Astyanax mexicanus: one gene and its partner. The protein of the gene in region 1 interacts with the protein of each later gene in a pairwise test. Links are inferred from orthologs where the notes say so. Each region holds a gene or a part of one and is shown on either strand. Other genes may lie near its edges. The genes, in order: chn1 and hemk1.

Region 1 (8,104 bases):
GACTGGTGGAGGAGAACATGCCAAGATGCATGAAAAATGATTAAAAACAGAGTTATTCCACCAAATATTGATTTCTGAACTCTTAAAACTTTTTGAACTTGTTTTCTTTGCATTATTTGAGGTCTGAAAAAGCCTTTTGTTATTTCACTTTCTGCTAAACAATGCTCTAAATTACAATATTTTTATTAGAAATTTGGGAAATATTGCCCGTAGTTTATAGAATAAAACAACAATGTTGATTGTACTCAACCATATACCTATAAATAGCAAAATCAGAGAAACTTATTCAGAAACTGAATTAGTCTCTTAATTAGAGTTATTTTTTTATGTATCGTACAGTCGAAAAAGGAAAGAATTACATCCACAATCCCTAAGAGATTTGAACTCTTTGAACTTTCAGATAACTATTTCCAAAGTTTTAGTCCTTAATCAGCTTGCTAGGGCAGTGGTTTGTTCACAAGCATTATTAGGAATGACTGTGATGCAAATTTCAAATTATCAGCCATGGGCTCCTCTCAGCAGCTGCCAAGCTCTATAAAAATAAAATATAGGACAGTGGCTGTACAGGAGAGCAATGTGTTTTTTTCAGTTGCTGTTCATTATATAATTAAGAAATGTCTATTGCGTGGAGGTCAAATTAAGGTTTTGAAGAAAAAAAAACATGTGGTTTAATGCAGTAGAATGGAGGCAAGTATGGATTACACTGAAAAAGTATGGTAAGCTGTTTTAAGAAAAAAAGTTAATCTGTCTAAAAGCAGACCTGTGGCTACTGTAAAAGTTCTGTAATATTCTAATTTAATTTCTGTTAAACCTTAACTATTTGTATTCAGTCTGTAAGGGTTCATATCTATTAACACTGAAAAAAAGCCCCCTGGCTGCAGAAAGTATGAGATCCCCTGGTGTAGTGTATCATTGGTCTGCTCTGTTATTTGAGGACTTTGTGTATCCTGGTGTGTTTGGGTGTGTGTCTGTTCTGGTCTATTGTGTAAAATGAAAACAGTAAAAAGATTCTATTACCGTATATTGGATTACAAACTGAGCCATAACCTTCTCATTAAAGTTGAACAAGATACTATTGTACAGTTAAATGTATACATGCAGTTGTGTGTCCAAGAAATCACATCATATGTATTTAAAGGAAGGCTTTCACTGGCCTCTCGCAGTGTATTGTTAAACAGGGGAAATGAGTGTTCAACAACAAAGTGTTGTAGCGAGACGCACGTCTCCGTGCCCTGAACGCACACTTACTGTTGGGCTGCTATTGTCTTGGCTTCCTGTTAGTGTGGACACTTACTTAAGCTTCTGTCAACGCAGGACTGCCATCTGGAGAAAACAAAACAGAGGGTGGAAGAGCGGGAGATATTCGGGGTTTAATTGAATGGATAATCCAAAATATGAAGATATTTGTTGCTATAATTGAGTATTTGAATGAGTAAATGCATGTGTAGATACTGCAAATACTGACTTATACAGACTTTCTCTTATTATTATTATTATTATGTTGTAGGTCATTGTGTTAAGTAACATGGCACAGTGTGGCACAATGTCATAGGTTGGAATGCGTTGGAAATAATGTGTGAATGTGTGTTATGTAATACAGGACAGAGTTTCGATTGTATTGCCAAGTGTATTAGGTAATGGTACTGTGTGTTATGTAATATGACACAGTGTGTTGGATGAGAATATGGGACATACATAGCTTACCTCACATAGCCTACCTTAAAGGTCTCATTCCATCATTTTTTTATTCATTTTAAAATGTCTAGTGTGAATAAATGCCATGTGAAGAAAGTGCTCCAGTGAAATGTTAGTATAATGCTAACATAACATTATCTCAACATTAGCACAATGTTAGCGTAATGTTAGCGCCGCGTTAGCATAAAGTAACGAGTAATAAATGAGTTTAATGTCCAGCACTGGCTGGTAATGCCGTGCAACAGTGTGATGCAATCAGATTATTGATCATGATTAAAATGTGTGATTATTAACATAATTACATTAAACACTCCTCATCCACTGTGATTTTCTAATATGTTCTAATATGTTAAATGCAGATTTCAAACCGCGCTTCCCTAGTGTATATTTAAGGTCTGGGTAAAATGCAGAATCCACTGGAGATCCAATGTAAACCTATAGTTACTTACACAAGATAGCTAACGTTAACTAGCTGGTTTAAAGAAAGCTATAAGCTCTTTAGCTGACGAGACAATGTCAGCTCTGCTGCACCCCAGCTTCAGCTCTGCCTGTAGTTGAGGCCATGAATACTATTTCCAGGGTTGACGTAGACCCATGTGCTTTTCCTGATCGACTTGTATTCTGATTTTTTTCTTTTACTAGCTACTGCAGACAAAGAAGGTTGAGGAACAGTTTCACATGCAGCATGTATATACAACTCAGAGAGACCTATTTCATTTTACAAAGAACAAGAAAAGGTGGATTTTAGCAGGAGACCTTTAACTATTCTTTTTTTTCTTTGTTCTGCTGACAATACTTTTTCAACTTTAAGGTATTTGTATCACATTCTTGCCTGATATCCCACAATTGCAGAATTTAATTTCTTAAAATGTCTTTTTTTTTTTTAATTACTAGAAGAAAAGTCCAAAAATGTAATGTGTTGGATAATTAGTACTGCAAAACAAAAGATACTCTATCTCATTTCAGAGGGTTTTGATGGAGAACAATTCCAGTGCTCCACAGCCCAGTGCTGGGTGATTTGTTCCCCTTTAGCAACACTTGGCACTGGGCATTGGTCAAAACCTGGCACTGGACCTTAGGCCTGTGTGCAGCTGCTCCAGAGTGTCCCATGCTATTGGCTATGCTTTTCTATAGAGAATATACAAAACGGTGTGTGGACAAATTATGCTTTTGTTTATAATCTAAATTTGCTAATTTAGAAGATTTGTCTGGATTTGCACATGGCAGAAACAGATTCTACTGATAGCTGGTTTCAGATGGTCTAAGCTTGTCTATTCAAGGTGGTTGAAACACTGATCATTAAGATGATGGCATATCTGTATGTTGATAAATCAGCTGCTACCTCTTGACCAGCTTCGCATATGTTTTCCTTTAAGTTTAATAAACTAGCTGTCTGTCAGCATCATCAATTTGACCAAGCTGGGAATACTTGAGGACCAGAGGTCAAGTGGGCCATGCATGCTGGGCACACTGGTCATGCTGATACTGGTTTAATAGGCTAGCTGCTCTGGTGTTAGGTTGTTTAATGACGTATTTAATGGCCAAGGTGGTTGAAAAGCTGGTCATCCAAGTGAAAATATACTTTATGTTGGTTAATCTAGTTGTTTAACCAACTCTTCACCAGTTGTGTGTATTATGCATTCGACTTCGGTCATGCTTAAATCTCGACCAGCATGGTCTTGCTGGTTCACCAGCTTGGTGGTGCTGGTTCACCAGCTTAGTCTTGCTTGATGAAAAGCGTGGTCATGCTAGGCAAACATCATGGTCAAGCTTGGTCATAGTGGTTGTTTAGTGAGCTTGTTCAGGTTGATCATTCTTTTTGTTGACCAGCGAATCCATCAAATTCAGTAATGAATTTATAAACTGATAAGCTGGCCCTACTTTTTTTCATTAGGTTAGTTTGGTCAAGCAGGATGGCAGTGCTGGTAGATCAATTGAAAGACCATCAAACTTAAACTTGCCCTAAGCTACTCGTGAGATAGCAGACTTGTCAGACAGCTTGAGCTGACCATGCTATTTTTAGCAGGTTTGTTTAGTTTAGCCATCAAACTAAGAAATACTGTAGATTTATCAAGAACTACATTCCCAACCAGCTTGAGGGTTTTCTTTACGCAGCCACTAAGGTGACATCATGTAAAAATAAAAAAAAATGCGTGGCCGCAACTTATTAGGTGTGAGAATGAGATCCTAAGGCTGGGCCATGACTTATTAAGGCATTGAAATGAGATCATTAAGTCGTAGCCAGAGAATAATAAAGTTTGCTTTTATGTTAATGAATGCCCATGAAGAAGACTGAATATTAAATCAAACCTCCAACCCAAGGATAATCTTTAGTAAGAAAATGGAGAGTGAACTGGTTTCTTTTTATTTTTATCTTGGAATGAATTATGGCAATATTTTGGAGTCTCTTGCAGTGAGACATGGTATAATAAGAAAAACACACTTAATTTGCATACTAAAAGCTCACAGGCTCAGAGGCAGACAGTATGCAGAATCCAAAAGTATAGGATCTCATTCCCATGCCTTAATTACCTTGTTCCCACGCCTTAATTATCTTGTTCCCATGCCTTAATTATCTCGTTCCCACGTATTAGAATCTCATTCCCACGCCTTTATTATCTTGCTTCTATGCCTTAATTATCTCGTTCCAGTGCCTTAATTATCTTGTTCCCACGCCTTAATTATTCTGTTCCCATAGCTCAATTATCCCATTCCCATGCATTAGGATCTCACTGCCACACCTTAATTATATTGTTTCCATGCATTAGGATCTTATTCCCAATGCCTTAATTATCTTGTTCCTACACATTAATTATCTTGTTCCCATGCATTAGGATATCATTCCCATGCCCTAAGTATCTCGTTCCCATGCATTAGGATTTCATTCCCATGCTGTAATTATCTCGTCCTGTTTCTTAATTATCTTGTTTCCACACATTAGGATCTTGTTCTCATGCTTAAGTATCTCGTCCCATGCATTAGGATCTCTTCCTATGCCTTAAGTATCTTGTTCCCATGTCTTAATTATCTTGTTCCCACGCCTTAATAAATCGTGGCCACACATTCTTTTTGTTTATTTATTTTTGGTTTATTTTTTACATGAGGTCCCTTAGGGGCTCCGTAGTTATCCAACTTTGCCCCATCACCATAGTTAGTTAGTTAGCTAGCATCGTTTCCGTGCGTGCGCGCCGCCGTGTCCATGGTAACGCGCCATGAAGAGGCTGCAGTCCCCGAGGAGAAGCGGAGCTCGCGGTCATGTGCTCTCACAAGATGGCGACTTCAGTGCTGGGATACAGAGTGAGTCCGGGCTGCAGCAGCTTCACATCGCTAGCTAGCTAACCCTGTCTGAAAATAACGCCGTCGAACCGCCGTGCCGTCTGCTGATAGCGCTCTGCTGGGAGCGGCTGGGGCGGTTAGCTAGGTTAGCTAGCTGGCTAATTCTCCGCCGCTGTGAGATCATATGCAGCCTGGCTGAGACTGATGTGGCTGGATCTGCTGAATTCAGTGGGGTTCAAACTTTAGCTTTGTGCAGCCTGGAGATACAGACGGAGGGTCTGAATGAGCCAGCAAACGATTAAACTCAACATTTAGCGAGTTATTTAACTGGCTAGAGAAGAGAGCTCGCGCTGAAATAATCCACATTTTTTATGTGTTCGTTTGTTTCCATTCAGGCAGTTTGCTGATGTGATTTTTCTCCTCCTACATGGACAAGCGCTCATTCTGAATGAGTGAACACAGCGAATACAGCTTTGTCCATCGGAATTACAGCACGAGCATGGCCATCCATGTGTTTGGTAAGTTGCACAATGTTATTTTTTTTATTTATGTTGTTGTGTGTTGATGTTGTGCAGAGCAGTAAAAAGGGAGCATGTTTTGCTGGAGAGACTAGCAGAGAGACAGACCCTCAGGGTGTGTAACTAATGTAGCTTTAGCTTCAAGGGGGAATCAACAATGGAGAGTGTGTCCATGGGGGTGTTTCTGTTGGAGTGTGAATATGCAACCAACAGGTTAGCTAGCCTAGCTAACCTTGCTATCTGTCCTACTCGCTTACACTAGACCATACAAGCTAACTAGTTACTTGTTTTTCTTTCCACCTTAAATAGTACTGTAGTTCCCATTCTGGCTCATGAAAGGTAGCTAACTAGCTAGTTACTGATGCACCATTTAAGGTGGAACCTAGCTAAATTTCACATAATAAGTCGACGTGTGCCGCACACTAACGTTTTTAGATTACTCAGATGAAAAATATGTATTAATACAGCTCTGGAAAAAATAAGAGACCACTTAAAAACGATTAGTTTCTTTGTTTTACCAAATTGAAAATCTGGAATATAATTAAGAGAAAGATGAATGATCACAAGCCATCAAACAAAGCTGAACTGCTTGAATTTTTGCACCAAGAGTGGCATAAAGTTATCCAAAAGCAGTGTGACTGGTAGAGGAAAACATGCCAATATACATGACATCTGTGATTAAAAACCAGGGTTATTACACCAAATATGATTTCTGAACTGAATATAAAAACTTTATGAATATGAACTAGTTTTATTTGCATTATTTGAGGTCTGAAAGCTTGCCATCTTTTTGTTATTTCAACCATTTCTCATTTTCTGTTCTAAATGGCAATTTGAGAGACATGTCCGTAGTTTATAGAATAAAACAACAATGCTGATTTTACTAAAAAATCTACCTATAAATAGCAAAATTAGAGAAACTGATTTAGAAACTGAAGTGGTCTCTTTAATTTTTTTTCCAGAGCTGTATATTGCCAGCTAGTAGACCAGCTAAATTAAAACTGATTGACCAGCATGGCAAAGCATGACAAAAATAAAATGAAACACACTTTTATGTTGGTCAAGATCTGTTTTTTTAGCAAAATAGAAGAGATTTTAATCTGGATGACCACCAGCTCTTAAATTATCCGCTCATAGTGGCAAAATGTTGAGATTACAACTACTACTACAACATTACTATTCTGTATATGTAGCACGTAAATCTAGCACTTAAAACATCTGAAAGATCGGAAGGAAGAAAGTGTGTCTCATTTCATTCTTCCCTTTAGGCACTTCCACTCAGCTTGAGTTGTTTTGTTCATTCAGGTTTTGAAGTGGCAGCAGGGAAAGGGGGGGGGGGACAATTGATGTTCTCAAGCTAGCTGTGGTCACTTCAGATGCTAACAGCTAGCAGAGTAGATATCAGGTATTTCTGTACATATTAGTTACACTTGAGTGGCATTAAGGCTTAGTGTGCTGTTGCTTTAAATCCTAAACTGGATCTGGAATCAAGTAGAGCTTTAGGGTGTGAATGCCTCAGCCACTTGTTGGCAAAATGATTAGTCATGGGGAGGAAGTCTTCTTCCCTGGAGCTCTTATCTGTGGGATGGGGGAGCAGCCATTTTCTATCAATAATTAATGCTGAATCATAGGAGGAGCACATTTGGCAGAAGGGCAGGGAAGCTGCTAGGAGTGGAAGATAAGCTAGTCATGAGCCTAATTTGGCATGCAGCGCCAACATTTCCACAATTGGATTAAGTCCACAGTGTGTTCATTCTTGTAATTCATAGTTTATTACTTGTGGTTGGTTATATGCTTGGTTGTAAGATGAGCAATATCTTGTTGTTTCAGATGTCAAATCATTAAAATAGCTTTGCTTTTGTTGTGAACTTCTGTTTTGTGGGTGATGTCATACACCACATCTTCTGATAAATTAACTAAAATCATTTTTTGCTAAATGTGGCTCAGATATTATTTTTTAAGGCTATGTGAATAAGCCAAATACGATATTTTTTCAAATCAGATCTGAGCCACTTTTATATGTGCTCCTAAATCGAATATGTATCCAATCCATGGACATGTGTCATGAATGTGAACGGTCATGTCTTTTTGCTTCGGTCATGTGCCACGTGCTTCTCTCTCGTACCCACACATATCTTGATACAGCTGCGCGGCTATAGCTGCAAAAACAGCAAAAGCAAGCCACCTTGTCTTTTTTCAGCTCCTCGACCTGACCATGTACTTCAGACGAGTTGTTTGCTCTCAACTCAAGCAAAAGATGCTCCACATATGAGCTGCTAACGTGTCCATTTTCCTTTATAAAGTGACGAGTCGACTCTCAAATATGACGTTTTTTGTTGTTGGTGAAGAAGGTGACGTTTATGCACGTATCAATGTGCGCATGTGAGGCGCTTCAGGGACAGATTTGTTCATTTTACACACAGATACAGATCACTTACATTTGTGAATGTGAACCGTCAAGATAGCTAAATCTGATCTGAGCAAAAATTCAGATTTGATCAATGTGACTTGTAATGTGAACATAGCCTTAGGTCACAGATTGCATTCATCTTGCAGCCTTTTACATATGGTTTGGAATTACTAAAAAGGAAACGTTTTTGTTTTACAGGTGTTGT
Region 2 (7,216 bases), on another chromosome or scaffold:
AGAGAGAGAGAGAGAGAGAGAGAGAGAGAGAGAGAGGCAGAATGAGGAATAGACTTAGAGTGAGTGATGTAGGACCTCTGTTTCAGGGCGGGGGATGAACACTGGAGGTTTCATCTTCAGAGTGAGGTCCCTAAAATCCCACTCTTCTATCACATACTGAACTGGCATCCTGAAACACACAACACATACTCTCTAAACAACTCAAAGTCCCATATTAAATACGTTTTGTACAGTTTTTTTTATTAGTGATTTTAACTCACTGTTCATAAAAAACTGGGAGCACAGTAACCAGTCACCATATTGCTACTTGTTCCTATACTTACTGTCCATCTCATCAGCTCCACTGGGCACATAGAAGAACATTATATTGCTAAAATCACCGACAGTGATTCTTCTTTATCTCCGTATACTTTATTATCCTCCTCTTACCCTGTTATTTAATGGTCAGGACCCCACTAGACCACCATTGAGCAGTTATTATTGAAGTTTGCAAACACTGTGTTCACACACTGTCTTCCACTCTATTAGACATTTCTACCTAACTGCTCCACCTTGTAGACATAAAGTCAGACACAGAAACTCATCTCATCTTTTACAGCACAGTTTGTGTTGGTCTCTCTCTTACTCTCTCTCACTCACACTCACCAATATGTGTAACATAGATTGATCAGCTGCCTCAGGTGGCTTAACCTAGGTCTGCTGCACTGCATGTTAACATCACAATATCTACAGACTTTAGAGCCAGTACCTTGTGAGGCGTTTTGAACACAGTTCCCACACCATCTCTCTCTGCTGTTCAGTCAATCTGTCCCCGAGCCTACTCCTCTCTATACACTCCAACTGAGTGAGAGAGAGAGAGAGAGAGAGAAAGAGAGCGAGAGAGAGAGAGAGAGATGTGTTTACAATTAGGAAAACATGACAGTGGGCATGTGGTGAGGCATAATTTGATTCCTAGAAGTTCCCTGGAATAATTGTGCTGGACTGGTTTGATGTGTTTGTTGACAGAAGTATGAGCAAAAATGTCCTTTCACTGGATAAATATAGAAGGAAAAAACAATGAAACACTTTCTCTTGTCCCCGCAAACACTCTAATTTACCCAAATTACTCAGCAGTAAATCACTCGATTATAAGGCAAGCAGCCACCAAGACAAATAAAAACAGGAAAGTGACTCATGAAGAAAAGCTGAAAGTGATTTAAAATACACAGACTGATTTATTTGTCTCAGACAGCGTTCCAGTCTGACAAACAAACTTTTAACCAATAAAATCGGTCTTCATGGCTTCATTTCAGAATGGTGTCCAATACAGGAGGTAAAATTATTTAAACAGACCAGTATTTGTGGATAAGGTGATGTAAATAATGGGCCATGTGTGACATTCTGTGGCTGTTATTTTGAGTATAACAAAGACAGAGTGCAAAGCAGATCCCCTGATATATTCAGGAGAGCAACAGATATAGCAAATAATTGGATCATTTGGCTATTAGATCATCCAACCCCCTCACAATCAGGCCATCAGATAATGGCATGTATTCATGGCATGTATTCATAGCATGTAAATTTTAGCTCTGTACCCCAGAACACTAAACATAAAAATAAAACAATGATCATTAGAATATTTAGAATGTCAGGCAAACTGTAAACAGATAGACAGACAGACAGACAGACACAAGGCAGGGTAAGAAACTCACTGTTTTCTGCCCAAGTATGTGAGCTATGATGTAACTGCTGGACAGAAGTGGTTCAGAAATGTCCTGCTGCTGGAAGTGTTGAGCCCACAGACTGACTGCCTGCTCTACTGTCACACTGCCATCTATAGGTGGGCCTACAGCGCCACCTACAGCTCTGCAGGGCACACGGACCAAAGCCTGGAAAAAAAACAGACACTTCAGAGATGTTGTAATAATAACATAACAATTACAACTTTTATTTTATTCGCACTGTTCAGTTTAGTTACAAAATCATAAATCTGTTAAAGAAGGCAGGTAAGGCATGGTACAGAGTCAATTAAATATGAACTATATATTTAAAAAATCCAAGCATCTATTTGATGTATTGCAAAAAGAAAGAAAAAACTGAATCTCTTTTTTGTGAATTTTTTCACTTTCAACATAGTTTGAAATCTGCTGTTGTTCTTAATATTGATTCAACATTTCCTGATGAACGGATCATTAAAATTATATAAATGTCTGTTTTACACTAAACTTTACTAAATTTGAATAGGTTTTTACCCTCTCTATAAAGTTTCCATTTTAAATTTAAATTTTGTCAAGCAGTGATGAGTGAATACAGCATGGATGTGCTATAAAACCTCAACAAAGCCTTTAACCCTTTAAAATGCATTGTCCCGTATACAAGCTACAGGTGTAGGTGATACAAAACCCTTTTTTCTGCAGTAAAATAACTTATTTACAATCTGAAAATGAAATGGCTTTGAAATCTCCTACAGGTCACTTGGAGAAGCTGCCTGTTCACTCTCTACTCCATTTAACAATTCTAGATCAGTAACTTAGCAGGAGTTAGCCTAAATTCTGCAGGTTTTGAAATAGACATAACAAACTAGACAAACATAACAAAACTAAAGGTTTGGAGGACATGAACTGTTTGATTTGTATTCAGAAAAATATTGATTTTAAAGTGAAGTTCAGTACAGTTTATTTATTATACTTTTACAGTTGCTGTTTTATTTAATTTTTTTTTATATATATTTTCTATTACAATATTAATGATACTTTTTCGTAATGTTCCTTATCAAACATGAAAGCTGTTTATGTAATGCTTGAATAAAAATCCTCAAGATATAGTAATGTAATGTCAGGCACACAACTGAAAAAAATCCTGGCCTGTATAGTAGGGCAACGTATAGAAAAGTATATAAAGCAGCTCATTTGACTGCACTGGATTTAGAATTGCTGTTTACTAACCTGCTGCTGCTGCTGGAATAAACCGCTCGGTTTGAGGCGCTGAATAACGCGTTTTATACTGCAGTACATTTCCCAACCGGTCTAAATGAATCGGCATGAAGAAAAGCCGCTTAACACAAACATAACTGGACCATAACTGTTATTACTTAGAACCTGTTAATGGTATGCACACACACACACACACACACACACACACACCAGCACCAGCACACACTTAACGCTAGTACTCCACGCTGTTTGGTGACACGCGGAAACGGCAAAATACAGCCGCATGTCAAAATAAGAGTATCCCCAGAATTACATTACATTACATTACATTTGGCAGACGCTTTTGTCCAAAGTGACTTACAATAGTCAAGTACAATGTAAAATAAGTTTAAAGGTAAAACATCTTTGGATAGGGATAAAAGGAGGTCAAATGGGAATAATAGGATAGAGGAGTGAAGGAGGGGAAGAAGGAAATGAGGTTAGAAGTAGTTAGTGTATTATACAATATATATATATTTAATACTGGAAACAACAGTGTACTGGAATGTTTCTCGAATTAAAAACGTTAGATATGAAAGTCATTTCTTTGAAACAAAGCTGATTTATAAAGAGCATACCCGTTTCTTATTACTCAATGACTTAAATTTTTTTTATATAATTTCTTTAGCAAGTTGCTTTTTTCTGTAATCATCTTTTGTTTTTATGTTGATACAGCGTTGTAATGCACTGAAGGTTTTATCCACTGCATTAAATGCCTTACAAAAATGTCATTATAATTGAAAGAACTGTATTAAAATAATTATTTTTTATTACATTTTGTTTGAAACAAGTAGAACCCAAACCAGAGCCGGTTTTTATAAAGCCTATCTATTAGAACTGCCGTTATATCAGAAATTTACAGTCAACCGCTAGAGGGAGCCCGCGAGTGAGTCCAATAAATGGGGGGTGAATGGAGCTAAACCATAGACTGTATATAGCTGTACATATGTATATCTTTTTTTACAGTCTCTGAGCTAAACCTAAATAAAAAATAATTAATTGTAATCTATATGGTCGGTATATTCCTTGAAATTTTGAAATTAAAATGATGATTGTTGCTTTAAAAAAAGCTCATACTCATACTCAGAAAACATACTCATATATTAAATACACTTATATACACATTTCCAACAGTAAACAGGTTTTAGGCAGCAAGGCGCTAGTATTACTGCTACTGTGATCTCATTGGTTGGTGAGCTGATGCTGGTAAGTGGAGTTTAGAGGCTTTAAAAATTATATTGATGTTTTGTGAATGAATACATCTTTCAGTATGATTTTGCTCAGTTGCTCCATATGAACTAATTTATTCATATGGACTCAATCAAACCCAAAAGAGATTCTCAAGTTTGTAATCTCTTTATTAGAGATTCTCTCACTATGTTTCTCTCTATGTACCATACTTGCCATTAGCAACAGCGATACTGAACATTAGGGGGCAGGCTTCCCATATCATACATCTCTTTTTTTCTATCTCTTTTGTCACAGAAATGTCAACATTTTTCAAGCGTGTAGAAAGTTATCTGCTGAGCCTTTAGCGCGTGTGAATATGTGTGAACTGAAGTGAAATCAAGAGAAATGAAAAGATGTGGCTTAATAAAAGGTCATATGACCCCATCAGCCACAGTTACCCTTTACTTAAAAAAGGCTTAAAAGAGCAGGTGTGGGGAGCGGAACAGTGAGGACCAACTGGTAGCCTGACTGGTAAACTAAATGCCATGACATTTCAGCCCCGTTTAGTTAAGACCAGATAGATTCGTTTTTAAATGCACGTACAAATGAAATGTCCAACTTTAAGAACAAGGCACTAAAGAGTTTATAGACACCTAGCTAATTCTGTCCTTCCTTTCTTTTAATAAGGTTTTATTAGTACACTGTCTGGCCAAAAAAAAAGTCACCACCTGTTTTTAAGTAAGTAAATGATGTGGTGTTGATGCTGCAGTTGGTCAGGTCTAGGTTTAGCAACAGTATGTGCTGAAAGAATGAGGTCAGCTGACTACCTGAATATACTGAATATAGACCAGATTATTCCACCAAGAGATTTTTTCCTCCCTGTTGGCACAGGTATATTCCAAGATGACAATGCCAGGATTCATGGGGCTGGAATTGTGAAAGAGTGATTCAGGGAGCATGAGATCATCATTTTCACACATGGATTGTTCACCACAGAGTCCAGACCTTAACCTCATTGAGAATCTTTGGGATGTGCTGGATGGAGAAGACTTTGCGCAGTGGTCTGACTCTACCATCATCAATGCTGCTGCAAGATCTTGGTGAAAAAGTAATGCAACACTGGGTTGAAATAAATTTTGTGACATTGCAGAAGCTTCTTGAAACAACGGCACAGTGAATGTGTGCAGCAATCAAAGCTAAAGGTGGTCAAATGAAATATTAGAGTGTGTAAACTTTTTTTGGTGGCACCTTTTTTTTTAGTTTTGGGACACCAGCTACATAGTATTATATTAAGATTATTACTGAATTTAAAGCGGGCATACCTGTTTTTACACAAGTTAAAATATGTATATGAGCTATAAAACACACAAAATCACTCTCACATAAGAATATGTCACAAGCTCTATACTTGCCAGTTTCAGTCCCTTTTAGAATGAGCCGTTTGTTTAAGGGCTCTGTCACTTTCATGTAAATAAGCTGTTGCTGGCCACGCCCCATGGACCCACTTTGACTTGCCACAGATCCCTCAGTCAGATGAAGTCTGCTGGCTAATCCTACTGTGTACTTTCTGAGGTTCTCAACCAAAATGATCAAATTGGCATTTCTTCTTCAACGGATTTATAGATGGTGGCTCTGGTTGGGGGTTGACAGGTGGTGCCAGGGTGATTCTATGCACATTTCCAAATGGCTCAAAGAAGCATATGATTCCTGACACCTTATATAGGGGGCATACAATATCCCCTTTGATGATTAGTTCTAGTTCACAAATGCCACACAAACTCATCCCAATGCAGCTAATTCAGAGCATAGTTACACTTCTACAGCCCTGTATTGGCATTAGACACAGGGGGTATGGCAACTTTAGGCTTAAGTTTGATTGTTCTCGAGTGTCCCATTATATTGGCTATTGGCAAATTCTCCAAGGTGTTTGTGTACAATTTGTACATGGGCACCTTAAAGCAGCAAAAACCACAAATTATACACACTGTTTGAACATATTTGGCTAAATGCAGGCTTATCTTAATCACAACTATCTTTTTTATATTTATAATTTCTATCATTTACTTCAAAAAGTCACTTATTTTATCTCTGAAAATAGTGCCTGGTTGCTCCACTGTGTCTATGAAGGAAAAATAGGAAAAGAAGCAGATTGGCTGGCAGGCCTGTGCTGATCATGTGCTGTGAGAGAAAATGCTCTGTAGGCCAGATGGTACTGATTGTTGTTGTGTTCTGCAGGGGCTGCAGAGTTCAGTCTGGGGCTCTGAAAAAGTCACCATGATTCCTCCTATAAGTTCTGTGTTTACCCTGAAACACATCTCGAAACCAGTCAGCTAGAAGAAGAGAAAGAAAGTTTTGGAAAGACCTGAAGAAGTGCAAAGTAGAAGACCATGCAGAAGAGAAAGTAGAAAAGGAAGCATAAAAGGAAGGAAGGAAGAGAGAGAGAGGGGAAAATAGAGAAGAAAGGAAAAGAAAGCAGAAGAAGAAAAGCACACAGGCATGTACGAAGCGTAGAGTTTATTTGAGATGCATTTCTCCCAGAGGCTTGCCTGCGTTTAATAGCTCACAGTGTGTTTGTAATTACAGTCACAGAAACTAGCCGAGGCTCTCGAGGCGAAGAGAACTGGCGCTGGTATGCTGGCCAGGAGCACACTACTACACAGAATTTTCCAAACCAGCAATTTACTGCTGAAAAGAAACAACAAGAAGAAGGAACACTTTCACAAGATCACACAGCGCTCTCTCAGTACTGATTATGCTGTGTATGATGGAGTAGAAGGGAAATTCAGCTAATTTGCAATGAAAGGCTAAAATGTGAAGTCTGAGGAGACAATGATAGATAACTGGATATGCATTTCCTGAAGGAAATGCCAGTGTACAGTGCTTAAAAAGAAAAAAAAGGAAAAGTTGAACATTAGAAGGAAATTTAATGCAATTTCTATTGTGTTATTACAATCTTATTATAATGATTAGATGCAATGGTTATTTTTTGATCCTGGAAGAATAAGATAAGGAAGTAGAAAAATAAGTGAAGTTAAGTGCAGTAAAGTGCAGCTTATTACAGCACAACACTTGTGTTATGTGGCAATAATCTGAAT

Evidence for each region.
Region 2: the proteins of chn1 (region 1) and hemk1 interact in binary tests that used the Homo sapiens proteins (3 or more experiments, as listed by UniProt). The two-hybrid records come from large-scale screens. The link is inferred for Astyanax mexicanus from reciprocal best matches to the Homo sapiens genes CHN1 and HEMK1.

The regions. Positions count from the first base shown.
Region 1 is NC_064418.1:31,644,354-31,652,457, reverse strand, and holds the start of chn1 (N-chimaerin), read left to right. Parts: upstream 1-4,891; 5' UTR 4,892-4,992; intron 4,993-5,366; 5' UTR 5,367-5,419; coding exon 5,420-5,489; intron 5,490-8,104. UniProt on the Homo sapiens protein: GTPase-activating protein for p21-rac and a phorbol ester receptor. Involved in the assembly of neuronal locomotor circuits as a direct effector of EPHA4 in axon guidance.
Region 2 is NC_064412.1:15,821,775-15,828,990, reverse strand, and holds the start of hemk1 (MTRF1L release factor glutamine methyltransferase), read right to left. Parts: upstream 3,152-7,216; 5' UTR 2,994-3,151; coding exon 2,925-2,993; intron 1,869-2,924; coding exon 1,692-1,868; intron 841-1,691; coding exon 749-840; intron 170-748; coding exon 76-169; intron 1-75. UniProt on the Homo sapiens protein: N5-glutamine methyltransferase responsible for the methylation of the glutamine residue in the universally conserved GGQ motif of the mitochondrial translation release factors MTRF1, MTRF1L, MRPL58/ICT1 and MTRFR.